3 linked regions of the Callithrix jacchus genome follow. The protein of the gene in region 2 purifies or fractionates together with the protein of the main gene of each other region. This does not show direct contact. Links are inferred from orthologs where the notes say so. Each region holds a gene or a part of one and is shown on either strand. Other genes may lie near its edges. The genes, in order: PDRG1, POLR3K and POLR3B.

Evidence for each region.
Region 1: the proteins of POLR3K (region 2) and PDRG1 purify together in Homo sapiens (affinity purification with mass spectrometry; 3 studies listed by BioGRID and IntAct, with this or other methods). This does not show direct contact. The link is inferred for Callithrix jacchus from reciprocal best matches to the Homo sapiens genes POLR3K and PDRG1.
Region 3: the proteins of POLR3K (region 2) and POLR3B purify together in Homo sapiens (affinity purification with mass spectrometry; 6 studies listed by BioGRID and IntAct, with this or other methods). This does not show direct contact. The link is inferred for Callithrix jacchus from reciprocal best matches to the Homo sapiens genes POLR3K and POLR3B.

Annotation. Positions count from the first base shown.
Region 1 is NC_133506.1:7,247,536-7,251,654, reverse strand, and holds the start of PDRG1 (p53 and DNA damage-regulated protein 1), read right to left. Parts: upstream 2,824-4,119; 5' UTR 2,729-2,823; coding exon 2,642-2,728; intron 1,142-2,641; coding exon 1,066-1,141; intron 1-1,065. UniProt on the Homo sapiens protein: May play a role in chaperone-mediated protein folding.
Region 2 is NC_133513.1:2,334,437-2,338,742, reverse strand, and holds the start of POLR3K (DNA-directed RNA polymerase III subunit RPC10), read left to right. Parts: upstream 1-1,470; 5' UTR 1,471-1,566; coding exon 1,567-1,677; intron 1,678-4,267; coding exon 4,268-4,306. Other genes in the region: SNRNP25 (U11/U12 small nuclear ribonucleoprotein 25 kDa protein), read right to left, coding at 1,104-1,145. UniProt on the Homo sapiens protein: Core component of RNA polymerase III (Pol III) which synthesizes small non-coding RNAs using the four ribonucleoside triphosphates as substrates. Can mediate Pol I proofreading of the nascent RNA transcript.
Region 3 is NC_133510.1:109,232,673-109,236,260, reverse strand, and holds part of POLR3B (DNA-directed RNA polymerase III subunit RPC2), read right to left. Parts: intron 1,194-3,588; coding exon 1,137-1,193; intron 1,058-1,136; coding exon 993-1,057; intron 1-992. UniProt on the Homo sapiens protein: Catalytic core component of RNA polymerase III (Pol III), a DNA-dependent RNA polymerase which synthesizes small non-coding RNAs using the four ribonucleoside triphosphates as substrates.

The sequences.
Region 1 (4,119 bases), on a different chromosome or scaffold from region 2:
CCAAACAAAGGAAACACGAACAGCAAAGATCAGTAGTGTACTTAGGGTGTTCGAAACAGCAAGGGGGGAACAGTGGCTCACGCCTGTAATCCAGCACTTTGGGAGGCCAAGGCAGGTGATCACTTGAGGACAGGCGTTCAAGACTGGCCTGGCCAACATGGCAAAACCCTGTATCTATTAAAAATACAAAAACTAGCTGGGTGTGGTGGCACACGCCTGTAATCCCAGCTACTCAGGAGGCTGAGGCAGGAGAATCACTTGAACCCGGGAAACAAAGGTTGCAGTGAGCCAGGGTCATGCCACTACACTCCAGCCTGGGTGAGAGAGCAAGACTCTGTCATCAAAATTAAAAATAAATAAATAAAAATTAAAAGAAACCAAAGAGACCCATGTGGGTGAAGTCATAAATGAAGGGGAGAGTAGAAATGATACTGGAATCCTCATGGACTCATGGGGGCTGGATTACTCAAGTCTTGTAGAACCTCTGGATTTTACTCAGATGAGATGAGAAGCAACTGGAAGGCTCTGCATATTCCAGTGCACTTTCAACAAAATGTAAACTTCCCCCCTCAGCCCCTAAGGCCTTTCATTGTGGCCTGGCCTCTGTCTCTCTCTCCAGCCATACTTACCCTCCCCATTTGCTTCCTCTGTCGTAGCCACTTGGCCTCATCTAAATATCCGATTCTTCTGGATGTATATTCTCAATACCCACCCCAAGTCCAATTCCATCTTTGGCTTTCATACAATTTTCAATAATGCATTTTACATTGTTCTCCTCATCTGTAAAGCACAAGGGCAGGAACCATCACTTTTTTATACCCTCAGCGTCTGCCATTGTCCAAGAGCCAGGAGCCAATGACCTGTCACTGAGCAGCCGAAATCCTGAACCACAGTCTGTGCCAGAACTGCAACATTTGCTCCCCAATCTTCACAGACTGTTTCAATTTCCCACAAGGCTGTTACACAGCTGTGGCCTCCTGCCTGATCTCTATCACAGACAAGGTAAAGGCCTTAAAGGAAAACAGAACAGGCCTCCAGGGCTGCACTGAGAAAATTTCAACTTACCAGAGGGGTTGAGATCCTTCTGCAGGGCCCTTAGCCCCTCTCGATTCTGATTCCTTTTAGTGTCCAGGTCCACGATCTGAAAACCACGGAGACAGGAGGGAACTCTGTTATCTCTTGCCCCAAGCTGTCCCCTCTTGACAGACAAGGGCTGCAGAGACAATGCATTATTCCTGAGTTATTTCCAATGTCCTGCCTAAAATGGATTGATGCGTGAATGTATTTCTTCTCTCACTTGGCTTCCTGGTCCTTAAAGACAATGCTTTGTGCAGTTGCCTTCTCCCCAGAGAAGATGCTAGGAAACCATGTGCTGACTAAATGGGAAACTCTGTACTATTGCCTCAAACTTCAGGGCATATGAGAATCACCAGGGGAGTGGAAACCCTTCCCCTACACACTGATTAAGCAGACCTGATGTCTATTTTTGGACAAACTTCTCCAGCTGGTTCTGACCTAGTACTATGAGAAACCCAACAATACTAGATGGGAACAGCAGAAGTGGGGGCACTGAGACAGTGGTAACACCACAATAGTTACTAAGGAAGTGAGGCAGTAGTACAGTATGCTGCACGAGAGTGCTGGTTCTGGAGCTGGAATACCCAGGTTCGAATCCTGCTGTCTGCTTCAAGCTGTGTAATGTCATCTTCCTATTTACTCCTTGGCAAAATGGAGCTACGAACAGTACCTACCTCACAGGTTAATGAGCTAGCAATTAAGTGACTTAATACAGTACCTGGCACATACTAAGTAGCTGATAATCGTTAACTGCTCTCATTAGTCTCATCCAGCACGCCCGGATCCAGCATTTAATTTGACAGGCCCTTGCCCAAGTTTTCCCCTTCTCAGTAAATACCTGAGCTTTCTAACTGGAGATGAGAGGGAGTCATGACTCCCCCGGCTCCCTAACCCCTTTACACAGCCACTATCACGGCCTACTGAGTCTGTCTCCAAAATACATTTCTGACCCATTCACTTCTCTCCACCACCACTACCTAGTCCAAATCCAACTCTGGTCTGGACCATAGCAATGACCCTTCACCCATCTCCCTGCCCCCACCCTTGTGCGCCTATATTGTGTATTCCACACGGCAACCAGAGGGATCCATTTAAAACGTAAATCCAATTACGTCACCCTCCTTCCTCCAGGAACTCCCTTCAAAAACTTGGCACTTACATTAGAGCCTGACCCCCCACAAGGCACCCCATAAACAGGGCACCACCTTAACCGACGTCCCCATCCCTGGCCGGTCACAAGGCTCCCCCAGGCCTCTTTTCGGCTCCTCCTTTCCCCTAAGGGCCTCAGGGGGCCGGGAAGTGCATTTTGAAAGAGGTGCTCAGAGAAACGGCCCAGAGAGTGATGGTCGAGATCCGGAGAGCACGGTAAGAGGCAGAGAAAGGATGAAGGAAGAGGAATACCCAGCACTGCGCAGGCGCTCACTTAGTAGCGGCCGAATATTTATCGGCCCACATCTCTTGCCTCGGGACAGTTAACCGCCCGTCCGGGTCAACTCCCCGCAACCCCGTGCGCTTTCCGACGGCGCTAGCCTCCTGGCCCCAGCGCCGCAGACGGGCCTCTCACCTGCCGCTTGTCCGCCAGCACCTCTTCAGCGAGCTCCTCCACCTCTACCAAGTACCGCAGTACTCGCTCAGCCTCGGGTGACAGCATAGCGCCCACCAACTCCACCTACGACTCTCGCGCGACCCTTCTCTCACTCCACTGGGTAGCCACTGCGGCTTCCGCTGTACATGCGCCGCTCTCACGGGACTTCCGGAGCGCCTGCGCATTTAAAAGAACTGTGGCGCGCAGGCTCTAACGCACGTGCGTCAGCGGCCGTGAGAGGCGGGGTCTAGCTTTAGGGGGCGGGGCTGGAGCGCCCTCTGCAGGCTCAGAGAGCTCAGTCCGCGGGCAGCCACTGACCCCTTCCTCCCTCGGTTCATATTTCTTGAGCACTTACTATGAGCCAAGCAGTTTTAGGGACTTGGGATGCAGCAGTGAACACCACAAAATCTCTGCCCTCATGGAACTTCATCCTAGTGGTAAACACCGACAATTAATGGCAAAACAGTTATATAGAATGGCACGTCGTGATTATGGCCTGGGAAATATCATTCTTCCCCTGTCTAAGAAACACCAAGAAGGCCCATGTGGCAGTGTGATTAATGTTTCATCTCTGACACTTTCAGTTTCTAACTTATAAAAAGAGGGTGAATGAAAATCCCCTTCAGTGTCTCTTCACAGGATAGGAAGGAAGCAGGAATTGGCTGGGCGCAGTGGCTCACACCTGTAATCCCAGCACTTTGGAAGGCCAAGGCAGGGTTCCCTTGAGCCCAGGAGTCAGAGACCAGCTTGGGTAACACGGTAAAATACCGTTTATACTAAAAAATATATATATATATTAGCTGGGCTCGGTGGGGCATGCCTGTTGGTCCCAGCTATTCAGGAAGCTGAGGTGGGAGGAGCACCTGAGCCTGGGGAGTGGAGGCTGCAGTGAGCTATGATGGCACCACTGCGCTCTTGAAAACTATGGGCAGTAAGCAATGAAATGCTAGCTCATAAAAGCAAATGGGTTTGGGTCGTAGGATTGGGAGGCCTTCCCAGAGGAGGCAGGCAGATGGAAAATGGTTACCATCAGAACCAGAGGGTTCCCACGAGGTCTTCACGCCCAAACTCCTCATTGCATAGCTGGAAAAAAGAAGCCTCAGAGAGAGGCAAGAACTTTGAAAAGAAGGTGAGGAGTGAGCCATGTGGATGTCTAGGAGAAGAGTGTTCCAGGCAGAGGGAACATCCAGTGTGTGTGGAACAGAATGGGTGGGGGAAGCAGGCAGAAGGTCAGAGGGGAAGGAGGGCTGTAAAAGGCGCTGGGAAAGGACGATGACAAGTCTGAAGAGCAGGACTGATATTAGCACTCTGATCTCTTGCCTCCCCGATTCCAGCTTTTTATTCTCTCCTTTCAACCGCTTGTAACCAAGCCCCTTCACACCCCTTGCCTTACTTGTCAAAGCAGCCTTTGTATGGATGGAATTAGTACTGCTCCATTTCACAGCTGCAGACTGAGG
Region 2 (4,306 bases):
TAATGTCCAAAGTGGACAGAGTCTCTTGGGGAACAAGAGAATACACTCATATGAGGATCCACCCCAGGGGGTGGGTAGGGGCCTGACTGTCAGTTCACCCTGAGTATCTCTGATCATCAGCACCCAGGCCAGGGCCTGGGACTGGGACTGGGGTAAAGCAGGTGTGGGAAATTTACCAGGGTAGCAAAAAACGGTATTAACTATAAATATTTTAACACAACATTTAAGAAGCACAAGGCCAATTAAAAAATCCATGAGCAAAATATCAAACATTTAGAATTGGCCGGGCGCGGTGGCTCATGCCTGTCACCTCAGCACTTTGGGAGGCCGAGGTGGGCAGAGCACGAGACTGAAACCATTCTGGGCAGCATGTTAGATCGTGCTACTGCACTCCAGCCTGGCTCTGTCTCAAAAAAAAAAACCCACTCAAACAAAGTATCGTGCCAAAGCATGTTGGTGCTTGAGGCAAATGGAACAATCAGTGCTACGAATCTTGCTCTTGTTTAAAACTAGATTTTTTTCTTTACTGTAGGCTTTTTTTTTTTTTTCATCAACTTTTACTTTTAAAACTATTACAGACTGGGCGGGTGGCTCACACCTATAATCCCAGCACTTTGGGAGGCAGAGGCAGGAGGATCGCCAGAGCCCAGGAGTTCGATACCAGCCTGGGCAACATAGTGAGACCCCCCCCTCTCTACAAAAAATTTAAAAATTAGCTGGGCGTGGTGTCCCGCACCTGTGGTCCCAATTACTCGGGAGGCTGAGGTGGGAGGATGGCTTGAGCTCAGGAGGTCCAGGCTACAGTAAGCCGAGATCGCGCCACTGCACTCCAGCTTGGGTGACAGAGCATGACCCTGTCCCCCAGACCCCCTCTAAATACAATTACATTAAAAGGTCATTTATTGTCACTCACTAGTGAGGTTTCTGGTGCCTCTTTAAATTTCGCGCCCCAGGCGAGTGCGCCCTACCCAGGTTAAGACCCTCGTTTACACCCAGAGGCGCCTTCTCCCATCAGCACCTTCAGAGGCTGCACGTACCCGAACGCCCCGGCTCCCGGCCCCCGGGGGAACGACCCCAGCCCCCCAGCCTCCGCCCGCACACACCTGGATCGGCAGATCGCAGAGCAGCGGGTCCTGCACCACCATGGCCAGACCCTCCTGGAACACGTCCACGGCCTCGGAGTGAGGCAGCGTCTCCTCTTCGTCCTCATCGTCCTCTTGCGCCTCGGGCCGACTCGCGGCCTCGACCTGCTCCAGGACTGCGCGTCTCAGTAGGGCCCCGCCCGCACTGCCAAGCCGCACTACGGAGGCCAAGTACGCAGGCGCAGGAACGGGGGCCCGCCCCAGCGAGGCCGCCCAGCCATTGGTGCATCGAGGGGAGGGGCAGTTGCAGTGACCAATGACAAGTACGAGATAGCCTGCTGGGCGCGCAGAATCGCCCTGTCTATTGGTTGGCTGGGCGGGGCGGGGCGGCTGCCGGCACCGACGTGAGCTCGAGGCGGGCGGTGTGTCGGCGCTGAGGGACGGCGGGAGCTGCTGGGAGCCGGGCCCTGTGGAGTCGGAGACGATGCTGCTGTTCTGCCCCGGCTGCGGGAACGGGCTGATCGTGGAGGAGGGACAGCGCTGCCACCGCTTCGCCTGCAATACGTGCCCCTACGTGCACAACATCACCCGCAAGGTGGGACTCGAAGGCGGGCGTCTCTCGCAGGACTTCCGCTTCCTCCGACTGCAGCGCCTTCGCCGCCAGCCCCGGCGTGTCTGTGCCTCTGCCCTTTCCTTCTCTCGTTTTTTTTTTTTTTTTTTTTTTTTTTTTAAAGTGAGACATCCTCTCGCTCTGTTGCCCAGGCTGGAATGCAATGGCGCGGTCTCGGCTCACCGCAACCTCCTCCTCCAAGGTTCAAGCGATTCTCCTGCTTCAGCCTGCCGAGTAGCTGGGATTACAGGCGCCCGCAACCACGCCCGGCTAATTTTTTTTTTTTTTTTTTTTTTTTTTTTTTTTTTTGAGACGGAGTTTCGCTCTTGTTACCCAGGCTGGAGTGCAGTGGCGTGACCTCGGCTCACCGCAACCTCTGCCTCCTGGGTTCAGGCAATTCTCCTGCCTCAGCTTCCTGAGTAGCTGGGATTACAGGCACGCGCCACCATGCCCAGCTAATTTTTTGTATTTTTAGTAGAGACGGGGTTTCACCATGTTGACCAGGATGGTCTCGATCTCTTGACCTCGTGATCCACACGCCTCGGACTCCCAAAGTGCTGGGATTACAGGCTTGAGCCACCGCGCCCGGCCTGGCTAATTTTTTTTTTTTTTTTTTTTTTTTGTATTTTTAGTAGAGACGGGGTTTCACCGTGTTGGCCAGGCTGATCTCAAACTCCTGACCTCGTGATCCGCCCGCCTCTACCTCCTAAGGTGTTGGGATTACGGGAGTCAGCCATTGCGCCCGGCTGTCCGCTCTTTCTCGCGCCCCCTTCCAGTCGGCAGCGGATCCCGTGGGCTCTGCTTTCCTGTACACCCGGCTAGGCCGCCGTTTCCCGCCTCCCTGGGTTCCTGCTCTCACGCTTGCGCCCCTTACTGCGTTCGCAGCAGCGGCCACGGCGATTCCGTAAGGGCCGAGTCACACAGGTCCGTGTTGTGCGCAGAAACTTTCGACCTTTCCCAGCTCACGCAGGGGAAAAGCCGGAGTCCTCCAGGACCTACCAGGTTCCGACACTGAGCCGCTGCCCGGCGCTCCTCCTGTTGCCCTTTGCCCCATCAACACCAGCCTCCTGGAGGACTGGCACTTAAGGTTGCTTGGTTCACTCTTCCCCTAGAGCCGGCTTACTCACTGGTCTGGTCTTGTCTTCAACGTTGACTGTATTTTAAGTTGCAGCCCTTCCTTCTCAGTTATCCTCCTTCCCTTTTTTTTTTTTTTTTTTTTTTTTTTGAGACGGAGTTTCGCTCTTGTTACCCAGGCTGGAGTGCAATGGCGCGATCTCGGCTCACCGCAACCTCCGCCTCCTGGGTTCAGGCAATTCTCCTGCCTCAGCCTCCTGAGTAGCTGGGATTACAGGCACGCGCCACCGTGCCCAGCTAATTTTTTTGTATTTTTAATAGAGACGGGGTTTCACCGTGTTGACCAGGATGGTCTCGATCTCTTGACCTCGTGATCCACCCGCCTCGGCCTCCCAAAGTGCTGGGATTACAGGCGTGAGCCACCGCGCCCGGCCCCTCCTTCCCTTTTTAATTGTTTCCATAGGGCTTATTACCTCCTAATATATTATGTAATGTATTGTGTGCTTTGTTTATTAATAGTAGGACCTAAGGTCTAGGCGGGCAGGGTTTTTCTCTGTTCCTTTCCATGTTCTATTCTGAACAACTAAAAGGAAACCTATGACATAGTAGCTGTTCAGTAAGCAGATGATGCACTGTATTATAACTTATTACTTTTCCTTAATAATACAGATTTGCTTTTTAGAATACCTTTACTTTTGTTTTTTTTTTTTTTTTTTTTGAGACACCGTTTTGCTCTTGTTGCCCAGGCTGGAGTACAGTGGCGTGATCTCGGCTCACTGCAACTTCCATCTCCGTGGTTCAAGTGATTCTCCTGCCTCAGCTTTCCAAGTAGCTGGGAGTACAGGCGTGCGCCACCACCGGCTATTTTTTGTATTTTTAATAAAGACAGGGTTTCACCATGTTGGCCAGGATGATCTTGAACTCCCAGCCTCAGGCGATCTTGCCTTGGCATCCCAAAGTGCTGGGATTACAGCTGTGAACTGTCTTTTTTTCTTTTTTTGAGATGGAGTCTTGCTCTGTTGTCCAGGCTGGAGAGCAGTGGTGTGATCTTGGCTCACTGCAACCTCCATCTCCCAGGTTCAAGCATTTCTTACGTCTCAGCTTCCCGAGTAGCTCAGCTACTTCATCCTCCTGAGGCATCTGCCACCACGCCCTGCTAAATTCTGCACTTTTAGTAGAGATGGGGTTTCACCATGCTGGCCAGGCTGATCTTGAACTCCTGACGTCAGGCGATCTGCTTGCCTTGGCATCCCAAATTCTAGGATTATAGGTGTGAGCCACCATGCCCGGCCAGAATACCTTTACTTTTCAGAAGTTAGAACGTCGTGGTGTGACCTCAGTCTTAATGTTTGCATACTACTCCGTTTTGTACTGTGTTGTGGGAGTGTAGAGTCTGAAACTGTGGGAAGAGTGAATTCTTATGCAGTCCTGAAATTTGAGGTTTGGAGGCCCAAGTTTGCACCATTTGGCTACTTTGAGTCTGAAGGCTTGTTTTTGTCAGGTAACGAATCGGAAGTACCCGAAACTGAAAGAAGTGGAT
Region 3 (3,588 bases), on a different chromosome or scaffold from region 2:
TGAGAACAGCAGAAAACATTGCTTCTGTGGTATTCTTGCCAAAAATGTACAACCCAATCTAATAATGATCAAATGTCATACAAACTCAAATTCAAGGAACTTCTACAAATATTGAGTAGATTGTTCAAAAGTATCAAAGTCATGAAAGACCAAGAAAGACTGGGGGACTTCAAAAATTGAGGAGACTAAGGATACAAGACAACTAAACATAACATGGAGCTCTGGATTGATTCCTACACCAGAAAAAGATTATTTGTGAGAAAACATCAAATGAGATCTACAGATTAGTAGACAACATCGTATCAGTGCTAACTTCCTGGTTTTATTATTGTGCTATGATTATGTAAGATGTTAATATCAGTGAAAGCTTGGCAAAGGATACTGAAGAACTCCTTGTACTATTTTTGCAATTTTTCTTTTAAGCTTAAAATTATTTCAAAATAAAAATTTAAATATTTAAAACTTAATAGTTTCAAAAACTTCCCATTCATAACTCGTTATAATTTGACAATTAAAAATGTAATTTGAGCACTTTATAATAGGAGACAATGATTTTATTTTATCTTATTTTATTTTATTTTATTTTTTTGAGCTGGAGTCTCACTCTGTCGTCCAGGCTGGAGTGTAGAGGCACAATCTCAGCTCACTGCAACCTCCGCCTCCAGGGACTGCAACCTCCGCCTCCTGGGCTCAAGCGATTGTCCTGTCTTAGCCTCCCGAGTAGCTGGGATTACAGATGTGCATCACCATGACTGGGGAATTTTTAAATTTTTAGTAGAAACAGGTTTTCACCATGTTGGCCAAGCTGCTCTTGAACTCCCGACCCCAGGTGATCTGCCCACCTTGGCCTCCCAAAGTGCTAGGATTGTAGGCGTGAGCCACTACGCACGACCAAGACAATGATTTTTAAAGAATTTTGATAGCCACTTCACTCACTTTTAAAAATGTTAGACATAACCCAAATAGCAAATTAAGAATAGTTGGTTCCTTACTTTAAGTACCACATAGGGTCAGCGTCACTTGTAACCTTTTCATTGGCTTTCATTATCTTCTTTATCTGCAGTGGAAAATGCAACATTAGGAAAGACTCCCGCTTCCAATTAATCCTTAGTTTATGTCTAATGTCTGATGCTTACCTCTACATTAATAAAATAGTTAAATGAATCTATATGCTGTTTCACAAGGCCTTTCACCTAAACAGAAAGTAAAGATAGGTTAGCAACAAAATAATAGATCATGTAATGGAATCTAATCATGGGTGAACATCAAATTTTTCTCAAAAAGTGAGGAAAAAATCCACGAATTTAATAAATCTTTTCATTAATGTGTTCTAATTCCGTTTCCACATCATCTTACTAGTATATTCTCAAGAGTTTTCCTCCTTGAGAAGAAATCTGACTCTTGGAAATCAAAATATGAGTACACGAATATATGGCCATGTGCCACATAACAACATTTCGTTCTACTATGAACCACATATATGACAGCAGTCCCATAAGATTATAATGGAGCTGAAAAATTCCTATCACCTAATGACTTACGACTTGATTTGATTTCATAGAGTATATCTGTGAAAAGAGTGACCCTTTCCTCAAGAAGCGCCTCCAGCAGGTCCTTCAGGTAGTATTGCAGAAGCAGCCACTGCTATCATAGAAGATGATCGCTCCATGTATTATTGTCCATGAAGACCCTCCAGTGGGACAAGGCATGGAGATGGAGGACAGTGATACTGATGATTCTGGCCTGGGCTAATGTGTGTATTTGTATCTTAGGTTTTAACAACAACAAAAAAATAGAGACAGAGTCTCCCTCTATTGCCCAGGCTGGAGTACAGTGGCGCAATCTCAGCTCACTACAACGTCAGCCTCCCAGGATCAAGCAGTTCACGTGCCTCAGCCTTCTGAATGGCTGGGATTACAGGTGCCTGCCGCCATGTCCAGCTAATTTTTGTATTTTTAGTAGAAACGGGGTTTCACCATATTGGCCAGGCTAGTCAGTCTCAAATTCCCAACCTCAAATTATTGCCTGCCTTGGCCTCCCCAAGTGCTGGGATTACAAGCGTGAGCCACTGGGCCTAGCACCTTCTTCTCCATTTATGTACAGCTCCTTTTAAAAAATAAAAAGGCCAGGCAAGGTGTCATATTCCTACGGTCACAGCTACTCAGGAGGCAGAGGCAGGAGGATCACTCAAACCCAAGGGTTGAAATCCAGCCTGAGCAATGTAGCAAGACTCAGTCTTCTAGGGGTAAAGAAAATAATATTTCTTGATCTTACTACCATTTTATTTGATTCTTGATCACTCCCCTACTTAAAAACTCAATAGCTTTGTATGGCTTTTAGAAGAAAAGCCAAATCCTTAGCATGGCTTTCAAATCTGACAAGAAATCTGGCCCTGACAACTTTCCCAGCCTCATTTCCCAGCACTCTCCCCTCTATCCACAGCACCCAACTGAACTGGACAAACTCTACTCATTTTTTTTTTTTGAGATGGAGTCTCGCACTCTCGTGCTATTGCCCAGGCTGGAGTGCAGTGGCACAATCTTCGCTCACTGCAACTTCCGCCTTCCGGGTTCAAGCGATTCTCCTGCCTCAGCTTCCCAAGTAGCTGGGATTACAGGCACCCGTCACCATGCCCAGCTAATTTTTTTGTATTTTAGTAGGGATGGGGTTTCACTATGTTAGCCAGGTTGGTCTCAATCTCCTGACCTCGTGATCCATCCACCTCGGCCTCCCAAAGTGCTGGTATTACAGGCGTGAGCCACTGCGCCTGGCCTCATATTTCAAGTCTCCATTCTTTCATTTAGCACAATGGTTTCAAGATTCATCCATGTTGCAGCATGTAAGGTACTTGATTTCTTTTTATTGCCAAATAATACTCCATTGTACAGATACATCCCATTTTGTGTATCCATCCAGCAGCTGATGTCCATTTTATGAATAATGCTGCTATGAGCATTTGTGTACAGGTTTCTGCATGGACACATGTTTTTCTCTTGGGCAGATATCTAGGAATGGAATTGCTGGAGGATACGGTAACTTTTTGTTTAACCATTTGAGAAACTGCCAGCCTGTTTCCAAAGTGGCTATAACACTTTACCTTCCCATCAGTGGAGCATGATGGTTCCCGTTCCTCCACATCCTCATTAACATTTGATTCAGATTATAGTTATCCTAGAGGGTGCCAAGTGGTCTCTCACTGTGGTACTCACTACTTCTTAGCGTAAGCTCTTGGAAACTGAACTGAAGCCCGACACCACATCACTTCATATTCAGCAGCTCCCCTGACTGGTCGCTATTTCCTGCAGACCCTGTGGAGACTCCTCTTGAACACCTTGATTGAGACATGCTCTCTGCACTCAGCTTTCAGCTTAAACCATCTTCTCTTAAGATGTGATTTATGTCTCACTTCATTTGGGTGGGCCTCTCTGACCATCACTCTTTTGCCAATAGTACTTTGGCTTTTAATCATCTGTCATGCTGCTATGCATGTTTTACTACTTCTCTCTAAAATTAGACTACCACTCCGCAAACCTGCACCTTTCAGTCAGGGATTTTACCTTATAATACCAAAACTAGCAACACAGCTAT